Schizosaccharomyces pombe: one gene and its partner. Changing the gene in region 2 together with the main gene of any one other region gives a genetic interaction. Each region holds a gene or a part of one and is shown on either strand. Other genes may lie near its edges.

What was found.
Region 1: mutations in set6 (region 2) and nas6 together harm fitness less than expected from each alone (positive genetic interaction), as found in Schizosaccharomyces pombe (one large-scale study listed by BioGRID).

The regions. Positions count from the first base shown.
Region 1 is NC_003424.3:2,334,817-2,340,087, reverse strand, and holds nas6 (gankyrin), read right to left. Parts: upstream 1,969-5,271; 5' UTR 1,914-1,968; coding exon 1,809-1,913; intron 1,671-1,808; coding exon 1,071-1,670; 3' UTR 776-1,070; downstream 1-775. Other genes in the region: rpp40 (Rnase P subunit), read right to left, coding at 1-67, 112-204; protein mug68, read right to left, coding at 2,507-4,054; flippase Neo1, read left to right, coding at 4,726-5,271.
Region 2 is NC_003423.3:3,642,325-3,648,801, reverse strand, and holds set6 (histone lysine methyltransferase Set6), read left to right. Parts: upstream 1-3,262; 5' UTR 3,263-3,359; coding exon 3,360-3,438; exon of another isoform or gene 3,439-3,476; coding exon 3,477-3,616; intron 3,617-3,751; coding exon 3,752-4,984; 3' UTR 4,985-5,009; downstream 5,010-6,477. Other genes in the region: karyopherin exportin-T Los1, read left to right, coding at 1-1,657; leucine carboxyl methyltransferase Ppm1, read left to right, coding at 2,053-2,310, 2,364-2,487, 2,544-2,812, 2,862-3,143; rpp201 (ribosomal protein P2), read right to left, coding at 5,218-5,241, 5,305-5,613.

The DNA.
Region 1 (5,271 bases), on a different chromosome or scaffold from region 2:
GCACTATTTTCGTTATTGATCTAATTGCTTCTTCAGAGGCGTCTTCTACTGGCAACAAAATATCTAACTAAGTTTTATTATTAGGATTAAGATATAAGCGGATCTACATACCTTTCCATTATATGCATTCTGTAAAATTTCGTGCTCAGTATAATTTTTTTGATATATCTCGTCCTTTAATTCTTTAGTAAAAGCACAGTTCATTTTAATCGTATCTTTTTATTCATAAACTTTTCAGAAAGAAACGCAAAACTATTCTTTCCATATAAAAAAAGACACAGCGCTTCTGACAAGTGTTCATGAATTAGCAGGGAGACTTTGATGATACACCCATCAGCTCATTGTTACTTCATCTTAGCTGTATTAGAAAATATCAGATCAACAAGCACAATATCAAATTCAATATAGATCGTCAATTATATTTAGGCAATTTTCAATTTTTTCAAGTGTAAATAAATTTATTCGTATATAATTTATGACTCTTATAAGTATATTGAAGTAATGAACTGAAGAAAATAATTAAATGTTTTCATTCGTTCTTTGTATTTCACTCAGTATCATTGAAAAAGTTATGCAGACGGTAATTCATAAATTAGTTCAAATCGATGAAAATAATACCGACATCTTCAGATTGGCTTGTAGCGAGATTATTTAATAAAAAACATATTTTTTTACAAACCATTTTCCTTTTAAAAATGCTTATCTATCTATTCCTTTTTATTTATTTTTTTTATTTTAAAAATAATATTTCGAAAAAGAGAATGAAAACAATAAATATATCCATGTAAAAAAAATACCAGGTTAATTATTTAAGTAATAATTTTAATTATTGAGTATAAAACATCACTCAGACAACGAAGAGAACATAAGTTAACAATGGTTCTTTTGTTGTAATTTTCATTTCAATAATTGAAGCTACAAAACCACCTTTTCTATATTTTCGTCAAACGCCATGCATTTTTTTTAAGGTCATTAATACGAAATTAAGAGAATTGTATAATTTAAAGCAGTCGCTTATGAGTTTTAAAACCTCACCTTATTTGAACATTAATTTCTCGTAATATATGGAACTAAATTTCAAGGTTTTGCTCTTTGCAAGCTTCTAAAAATTCATTGCAAACAATACGATCAGGGCAAACCTCCAAAGCAGTATGGTTTTCAGAATCCTTACGTAAAGTATCAGCTCCAGCACGCACCAATTCGACACCAACATCTGGATGTCCTTCTGCTAATGCGAAATGCAATGGTGTGAAGCCATATGAATCCGAAGTATTCAAGGGTGCGCGTTGAGAAATTAAGTATTTGACTACTTGAATCTTTCCAACAGCTGCGGCTCTATGCAATGGTGTTTGGCCTTGAAGATCCTTTTTCCTAATAAGTTCTGGGGCCTTATCACATAATAATTGAACAATAGAAAGACGACCTTTTCCAGCGGCATAATGCAAACATGTTTGACCACCGCGAGTCGTTATGGTTGGATCAACGTCGGAACGGTTTATTAGTTCTTCTATTACATTATCAGGTACTGAGCGATTATTTATAGAGATCATTAAAGGCGTCCATCCTGCCTCATCTTTTTCGTCCGGCTTGATATTGGGTTGCTTTAACAAGAAATAAATGGTATTAACTTTACCAACAGAGCAGGCCCAATGGAGAGGTGTACGTTTGTCCTAACAATATTTGTGATTAGTAAAAACAACATGAGTCATTTAGTAGCTTAGTTACACTTGTTATTCTTGTCAATGCATATTCATTTTCTTTTTCGAATTCACAATAGAATAACAATATTAATTATTAGTTTCACATACATCATCTACCGCATTAAGAGAATTCGGATCATTTTGAATTGCCTGCTCCACATATTCTTCTGGACAGTTTTCTTCGATTGCTTTACCTAAACTTGCATAAACCATTTTATGTAACGACTAGATATGATTTTGTTGTAGTTTTATATGCTTGTTCTGTGTTACTTCAGTGGAAAGACTGTCGCCATTTAATGACACAGAGAATTACGAAATACTTCATTATATCCATTTTTAACATAGCATCCTTTGTCTGCAGATTGCCAACATCAATGTATCATTACAAAAACTAATTATTGTTACTGTACGGATTGTTTATATTTCAATTCCTTAATAATTGTTATTTTAATACATATTATCTTGCTATACTATTTATCTTGGTCCGCTTGATAGAATTTGTAAGTACTGTTGGTCTCTTGCTTGTATATGTGCTCATTCCTTAAATCCTTTGTTTGTGAGGTTTTGCCTGTGTTTTGCAGTCATCAAAAGCTGTATATTTAAGCCATCTTCCAAACCGCCCAATTGAAATAAATTAGAATGTCTTAACGTACTAATTATTTCATAACTTTGAAGAACTATATTCTACTGGCCTCAGGAGTTTTACCAAAATCTGTTGTATGCAATATTTTCCTTAAACGATTTACAATTAGAATAATGTGGCCTGTAATAGAAATCAATCAATCGGTGTTTGTGTCCCACAATCTCTATTTGTAAACGATGGACGTGCTCTCCTCAAGAATATCAGTTTTTCTCCAGTCCAAAGGATTTGCATCACTCCAAATTTCCGAGTTTAATGAATCTTCAAACCAACCGTTCTTTATCAAATACTTCGATTTATTTTCTGGTTTTCTGGTTTTTGAGGTTCCCATTAAAGCCCGGCTAGTCTCTTCTATAGCGTAACTGTTAGTATTCGAGAAACCTGAGTAACTTTCGTCTTTTTTTTCATTGTTAAATAACTGGGGCGATTTCGTTTTACTGCTGAGAATTAGAGAATGATTTCCCTCATTATCATTGTGACCTGAAGATGAATTGTTAACATGAAAACCAACTTTTGGTTGACGTGAATTACTCTGTACAACACCTCCATATGCCTTATCTTGGGAACCCCTGTCCTTGAGGGCTCTCTTAATTGCTTTCTTCCTAAGCTTTTCTCCACCTTTTTTTAAATTATAATCGTTGAGAGCATTAAAAGAGAAGGAATTTGCCAGCCGCTCATAACTTACAGTCCTTTTATTTTTCGGAGAATTTTGATTTCTTTCCAAATTCGATGTCTTTAAATTCTTTATATTGATAGTTTCTCTTGCACATTTTGTTATAGGTCCATCATTCATCTTGTTTGTAGCGGTCAATTCATTGATTTCATGGTTTTCCATTGTGCAAGAATTGAGTGCATCGAGATTAGTTGGAAATTTAACTGATGTTTTGTGTTTGCGAAGGATATCGTTGTTTTCTTTTTGTGAAGACTTATTCATTACATCTTCTGTTTGCGTTTCCGCAGTGCCAAGTTTACTGATTTTTATTTTCTGCATCTGGTTGCCTTTTTTCGCTTTCGGTTTTATTCTCTCATAGTTGGGGGGTTCAGCTTTTCCCTTACAGCATGTATTAATGATTTTTTCTTTCACTGGACTATCCAATCGCTCATACTGCTCAGGAATATAATTTTGTTCGCCGTTTCCATTATCCTCTTCTGATTTTTTTTCACTTTCTCCCGAATCCAAAGATAAACTACTCTCATTTCGTTCACTTTCAATAGAATGTAAATTTGAATTTGCAAAATGAAGTCTTTGTTTTTCTAAATCAAAAGATGCATCCCCAAATTCCATGGGACTTGCGTTTTTTTTTGCAGATATCTCAGAATGATATAAAATATCGTTTTCTTCATTGATTGTATAGTCTTGGGCTGATTCTCGTACAAGTTTTAGCAATGAATTAATTTTTTTCTCCTTTGATATTGATATCTCCTTGTAACAATTGAAAATTTCGAGCTCTGTTTTTGCTTCATTCGAACTTTTAATGTGTTTGACATATATGTTTTCCTGCTTAGATAGTTGTGGTTTTAAATTGGATAAGTATTCAGTAATTGCTTTGGTCAGTTTTAGTAAAAGTTTTTGTTGACTCTCGTATTTCTCCAAAAAAACATCCACATATTCGTAAGTGTTATCTTCCATTTTTAAAAGGATTTTTTCAATTTGAGTGATTTCATCTTTAAAAATTCCTTTCCTCAGAATGTCGAACATATTTCTCGTATTCATTCGTTCTAGCAGGTCTCAGATATTTATTTATTTGAAGAAACTTTAAACAAATGTTTAAATGTTTCTTTATTAAGATTGATAGAAAATAAGAATTGAAATTATGTAGTGTTTATTTGTACGTTTATGTTAGTATTTATTTGGTGTATCAAATCTATTTTATTTACAATTTATAAACAACAGCACAAGTCAAAACAACAACTTTCAATAGAAAGCTTTACGTTTATAAAATGAAACATATTAGTTGTTCATGCATAATAAAAATACGTTTTATAGTCCAAATACAATTGTTTTTACAAAGCTTAAAAATAGCTTACCATTCTTGTCATCAGATACTAATTGATAGTTCTAAATTTAAAATTTTGTTTGATTGCTAAATACCGATGACCATGAAAAGTTATTTTCTTTAGAATCCTTGCTTTGTTATTATTTTTTTTATAATTACTCAAAAACTATTAACTTTATAACTGCGCAAATTAGTTGTTGTTACTGATATCCTCTTAGCTTATCGTTACCGCCTTAAACCGAACCGAACATTTGGGAAACTTACAGGTTGGTTAATACCAAAGTATTTGAATTAGTATCTTTAAATTTTTAAATTTTTATATATTTAAAGTGTGGTTCCAAATTTTGCAAAGCGCACTGCTTTCCATTAGCCAGTGTCGCAGTTCACTATGGACTCAAGACTAAATCGAATTCAGTCCAAGATGAAACTGTGGATAAAAGATAAAAATCTGAGCAATCCTTCTATACCACTTAAAGTGCTCAATAAATCGTTTAGGTCTAGTCGCCAGTCTTCAGTTTCAAATGGCCATGGATTGTATTCATTAGATAGAGACGAAACTGAATCTCTTATGTCCAGTCATGAAGCCAGCAATGCAGGTATATCGTTGGATTCTTCATTTAGGGTAATTCAGGTAGGGCAACCTGAACCGCAATACGGCAATAATGCTGTTACTAATACTAAGTATGATCTGTTTACTTTTTTACCAAAATGCCTCTATGAGCAATTCCGATATTTCTACAATATGTATTTTTTGCTAGTATCCCTTTCCCAATTAATACCACCATTAAAAATTGGTTATCTTTCTACATACATTGCTCCGTTAATTTTTGTTTTATTAATTACTCTCACAAAAGAAGCAGTTGATGATTTAAAGCGGCGAAGGAGAGATTCATATGCTAACAATGAGATATATACTGTTAATGATTCCCCTTGT
Region 2 (6,477 bases):
TTCTAGTCTATTTTCTTCGTACATGTATTCTGCTATAACTTCTAGTTTATCTACTGCTGCTACATTATCTCCTGAAAATTCATGGCAGCTTATTGAGTTTGCGCTATATGAAACCTATATTTTTGGTGAAGGATTGCGGGGTCCCGATGCATTTTTTAATGAAGTTGATAAATCTCCGACTGTTCTTTCTCAAATACTAGCATTAGTTACCACTTCACAAGTTTGCCGACATCCTCATCCGTTAGTTCAGCTTCTGTACATGGAAATATTAGTACGATACGCTAGTTTCTTCGATTACGAATCTGCGGCTATTCCCGCTTTAATAGAATACTTTGTTGGGCCCAGAGGAATACATAACACAAATGAACGTGTTCGTCCAAGAGCATGGTATCTGTTTTATCGATTTGTTAAAAGCATTAAGAAACAAGTTGTAAATTATACTGAATCATCTCTCGCCATGCTTGGTGATCTATTAAATATAAGTGTTTCTCCCGTTACTGATATGGATGCGCCAGTACCGACATTAAATTCCTCCATAAGAAATAGTGATTTTAACTCTCAGCTCTATTTATTTGAGACTGTTGGTGTCTTAATTTCTTCAGGTAACTTAACTCCAGAAGAACAAGCTCTTTACTGTGATTCACTTATAAATGCACTTATCGGAAAAGCAAATGCTGCTCTTTCCAGTGATTTGTCGGCTTTAGAGAACATTATTTCCGTTTATTGTTCGCTGATGGCTATCGGTAATTTTGCTAAAGGATTTCCTGCCCGTGGTTCTGAGGAAGTCGCTTGGCTTGCTAGTTTCAATAAGGCATCAGATGAGATATTTTTGATTTTAGACAGAATGGGATTTAATGAAGATATCCGTGGAGCTGTACGCTTTACTTCTGGGAGAATTATTAATGTTGTAGGACCTGATATGTTACCAAAGGTTCCACAATTAATTTCCATACTCTTAAACTCTATCGATATGAATGAACTGGTTGATGTTCTTTCATTCATTAGCCAACTTATACATATATACAAAGATAACATGATGGAGATTACAAATCGTATGCTTCCAACATTACTAATGCGTATTTTTTCTTCTCTATCGGCCGCTCCACAAGGAACAGATGATGCTGTCAAGCAAAACGATTTACGAAAATCATATATTTCATTTATACTACAACTATTAAACAAGGGGTTTGGATCAATCCTCTTTACTGAAGAAAATCAGGTTTACTTTGATCCACTTATTAACAGTATCTTACATTTTGCAAACTTGGTGGGTGAGCCAGCTACACAAAAAAGTTCTATCGCTTTAGTTTCTAAAATGGTTTCCTTATGGGGAGGTAAGGATGGAATTGCTGGATTCGAAAATTTTACTTTATCATTGACACCATTATGTTTTGAAATGCCTGTTAACCCAAATTTTAACACCCGTGATGGTCAGTCTTTGGTAGTTTTAGGGGAACTGGCTGGATTACAAAAAATAATACTTGAAAAGCTAGGTGATATATACAAGTCATATCTTGTAACGGTGTATTTTCCCACCGTCAACTTTCCGGACGTAATGGCTTCTGAATATTTACAAGCTTTATCAAATCTGGATAGTAGATCATTCAAACAATTTTTTCAAAAATTTATTCAAGCATTAAAAAGTGGTAATGTATGAGAAGCTTTTGCTTTTCACGGTTTATACATAGGGTGTTTATACAAACATTTCAATAAAAATGATTATTTCGGACTTGTTGGATCATTGTGGTGCAACGTCTAGTAAAATATATCGTGAGCTGTAGATTGATAGATTCGTCTAACGGGAAGCATTATTTTGTCTAGATGTTTTATGCTGCTGTCGGTATTATTCAATTTATAAAAAGATGTTTAGCTTCAGAATGTCCGTTCTCTTGAGGTGGTGCACGCTTTCCTTAAAACGTCACCTCTTGCTCTCTTGCCTATTATCAATCAGTCTTATTTTTTTGAATATAAATAAACTGACAAAAAAAATCGTTTCTCTTATTAAAATTAATTGACTATACCCAAACAAGTTACGAATTAAGCATTCTTAAAATGGACATTACTGAAACAGATTTGGATGCTTTGAAATGCAGATCGAGTGCTACAAAAAGCGGATATATTCATGATCCTTTTATAAAATTCTTTAGTCCTAGTCGAAATTCGCATAAACCTCCTATCATAAATCGAGGAACCTATGTTAGAACATGGTCTATAGACCACATTCTTCAAAAATTCATAGAATCTTTTGATGGTAAAAAACAAATTATTTCACTAGGAGCCGGTACTGATACTCGAGTATTTCGATATATTGTATGCTTATGCTAAAACAAAAGATAAATGCAGTCTTTACTAACTACAGTAAGTCTGAATACGGACCTGAAAATTTAAAATTTATTGAATTCGATTTTTACCCAAATTGTATACGGAAAATTCGAACAATTGAGAAGCATGAAGCGTTAAAGCAAAACATCGGGGATTATGTTGTGGGTGAGCTAATTTTAGAAAAGTTGACTTACAAATTATTAATTTGCTGACCATAAAAGACATTTCTGGAGGGTCTTTAGTTTCTGGCTCTTTGGACATATATTCTTACGATATTCGAGAAATAGTCCATAAAGGATTTCCTGGGTTTGTAGATTTTTCTTTGCCGACTATTGTTCTGTCAGAATGTTGTTTGTGTTATTTGGAACCTGAAGAAGCTAGTTCATTATGCCGGTGGTTTCAAAATATGTTTGCAACTTCTGGCATTGTTGTTTATGAACCTATTCAGGGGATGGATAACTTTGGAAAAATGATGAAGGCTAATCTTTCTGTACGATGCTTGCATATCATTTCACAGATTAAGAACTAACAAAATTTAGGCAAGAGGAGTGATTCTTAAAACACTCGATTGTTATGAGACAACTGAGCAGCAAAGGATGAGGTTTCTTGATTATGGATACTCGGAAGTAATTGCAGAAGATTTTTTAACTATTGAAGAAACCTGGATACCCATAGAAGAAAAGAAAAGAACGATGAGCATAGAAATGCTTGATGAGTTGGAAGAATGGCAATTGTTAGCAAAGCATTACTGCTTAACTTTTGCAGCTACAGAAAACCTTTGGAATCAGATAATATTGCAACTTCCTCATTTAAAAACTTAATCAAATTATATAACTTTTACATCTGCTATAGATAAATTCAATTTTATACTTTTTTTTAAATTACGTATGTAACCTTTCAGTTCGTTAATATGTTCGTCGTCGAAACGGACTTATGCAACAAGAAACCCATTAGATATAAGTATTCGAAACCATTGAAGCACACTTCTCATGTTTGATTTGAATTTTTACTCTGAAGCCTGATAGCAATTGTTGATAATGGACGCCCCTTTGATTGCCTCTGTTATTTTACCTGAGTTTGGAAAAGGAACCGTTGCTACAGATAATATCCCAATTGGTATGCTCAAAAAGCGAAGTAACCACTAAATCTTTTAGGAAAGATAATTATTCGGAAAAGGGTTGATATTTTGAGCTTAGATTCTGCTAATCTGACGCGCACTTGCTCGACTTGCACGGAAGAGAAGGTGAAAACGCAACGCTGCGCGGCATGTAAAATAATTCATTACTGTTCCAAGGTAAACAAGTCTATTATGTTTTCGTAAAACAGATTTACAATCTGGCGAATTTGCTTATCGAGCTTTCAATTACAAACTCAATTTGTTCGTGAAAAGCGACTACTCATTTTAACTTAGTACTAACAGGCTTTTTAGGGTTGTCAGAAAGCAGACTGGCCTTTCCACAAATTAGAATGCAAAGCACTACAAGCGTCAAAGCAAAACGGTATACTACCTTCTGTATGTCGGTTATTAATACGATTGTATCTCTTATGGCAAAAAAATCCTGCTATCATTGAACCTATGGAAGGACACCAAAACGAATTTCAAGCTGTATCCTCCAGTTGGTCAGATGCAGAATTAATTGCTTCTGCAGCCTCACATTATACCCAAATTTATCAAGCAGAACTGTTTCAAAAACTTTTCTGTAGGCTAGCTGTTAATGCTATGAATCTTGTAACTTCGTCTTTCGATTCTTTGGGTATGTGTTTAGATACTATACTCTGTCGCTTAAATCATTCTTGTGATCCAAATTGCCAAATAATTTTCGATGGTGCAATTGTGCAGCTTGTTTCTAAACGTGATATTAAGAAAGATGAACAGCTTTTCATCTCATACATTGATATTCGACTTCCAAAGTCAATCAGACAGAAACAGCTTCTCAAAAAGTATTTTTTTTCTTGTTATTGTCCAAGGTGTGAGAACGACCACACTACAAAAGAAACAGATGGTTCAAAATGGATGGGACGACTTCGCAACTCTAAATCGCTTATGAAAAATTTAGCAATGGCCAGGGACTTATGGTCCTGTGGTTGGAAACAAACCGCTTTTCCTTGGTCCAATCTTTTACATCATATTAAACTAGGAATGCTTGATGAGTCTAATTTCAATGGTGCGTTTGCCGCTTTATATCTGAAAAGTAGTGCTGATGAATTTTTGGATGCACTTCATGTGGTTGATGAGTATCAATTACTGCTTTTGGGAAAGCAAGTGGCTATGGAAGTAAAGCATTTAATGTTTCCTAATGACAAACCTTTGGAGATGGAGTTCCCGTCCAGCTCTCAACCTCAGCAGACTGTACCTACCAATAACTCGTTATTTTTATTGAAGAATATACCATCATTTGGAGGGTTACACCACTGTATTTTGGGCCGCTATTCTATTTCCCTTGATGATTTTGTTTTGTGGCTTTTAGATAGGGCTCAAAGGCTACAGCAAGCAGTTAGAATAAGTCATCCTTCGACCACATTTTGTTCAAATGTGGAAAATGACATTAAAGAAATATTTGAGGTTTGTAAAGACTATTGCATGCTTCATGTTCAAAACAATTTGAAAGCATTTGAAGAAAAATTATGGGCCGCTTGTAAAGACTTCCTAGTAACATACTAAATAAAATTTATTATTCTCGAAACAACGACTTGCTTTACAAGTGTAAAGTCTCTTATATTCAAATCAACAACACGGGGCACCAGTGGTACATTAACATTTAAAGTAAGCTAAAATTACATTTATCAAACGAAAAATACTATTACGAATGGAGCACTAAAAAAAAATTGGTAAAATAAAACCAACACGGCGATTTATTTTTATGAAAGCGTAATGAAAACAAGGGATCATTTGGTTTAGTCGAAAAGACCGAAACCCATCTAAAATTGTTAGTAAGATGCTTTTGAGAAACAAAGAATGCTTCTTATCTAAAATTAACTTACGTCTTCATCAGATTCCTCCTCTTCCTTGGCTTCCTCCTTAGCAGCCTCCTCAGCAGCAGGGGCAGCACCGCCAGCAGCGGCGGCAGGAGCAGCAGAAGCAGCACCACCAGTGGGGACAGTAGCAAGCTTCTCGTTACCAGCAGCGATGAGCTCGTCGATATCCTTACCGTTAAGCTCGTTGATCAAAGTTTCAATGCGCTCAGATTCAGCTTCAATACCGACAGTAGACAAAACAGACTCGATATCAGAAGCGGAAGGGGAGTCCTTTCCACCAACGGTCAAGAGTAAATAAGCTGCAAGGTACTTCATTTTGACGAGGAGTGCAGTGCGTGTTGATGGCAGAAAGTATTAAGCATTCACAACACTAAGGGACTCGAAACTTTTGTGACTGGTTTTCGAGTTAGGTTAGGGTATGTGTTTGAGTGGAATGCTGCGATGATTTCTAAGGTTTGTTATATTCGTTTAGTTGACGAGCACGATATTTACAAGCTTTTTCTACAAGTTCAAATCAACCTAAATAGTTGTTAGTTAAGGGCGTGCTAATTATTTTTATAATAGTAAGAAAACCGTATGCACAAAGAGGCATAATTAATGTCATACACGTATTTGAGTTTATCAATGGGAATTGAAACAAACATATTAATGTTTGGTAAACTGACGGTTTAAATATAACTTCAAGTGCTTAACTTACTGGCCGAGACTTGAAATAGCTGTATAAGCTATTGAATAAATTTTCTCAATTGTCTTTACTTTCATTTCATTCCTCCTATTATGGGTAACAATGGGCAATTGTTTTTTTTTCGTCTTTTTTTATAGTAATGTCAGCGGTGCCCATGTTAACAAATGTTTCAATCTACAAAACCTAATTATCGCTTAATTTAATTTTAGATTAACTTAATCGAAAACACGTATAACGATAAGACGATATACTCGTAATTGATAAATGACGGATTCTTCTCCAATAATTTTGTGTTTAGAAAAAAAAAATTTCGCACGGTTGCGAAATCTTTATGGCTGTCAACATTTTATTCATATTTGGGACAATTTGCAATTTTAAGCCAATCGTATCCGGTTTTTTGTTAACTGCGAAGCCGTCAAAACTATCCGTAGGTAGTCCCTTGCAAAGATCTAGCAAAATAAATTACATTATATAATAGATAAACCAATAAACCT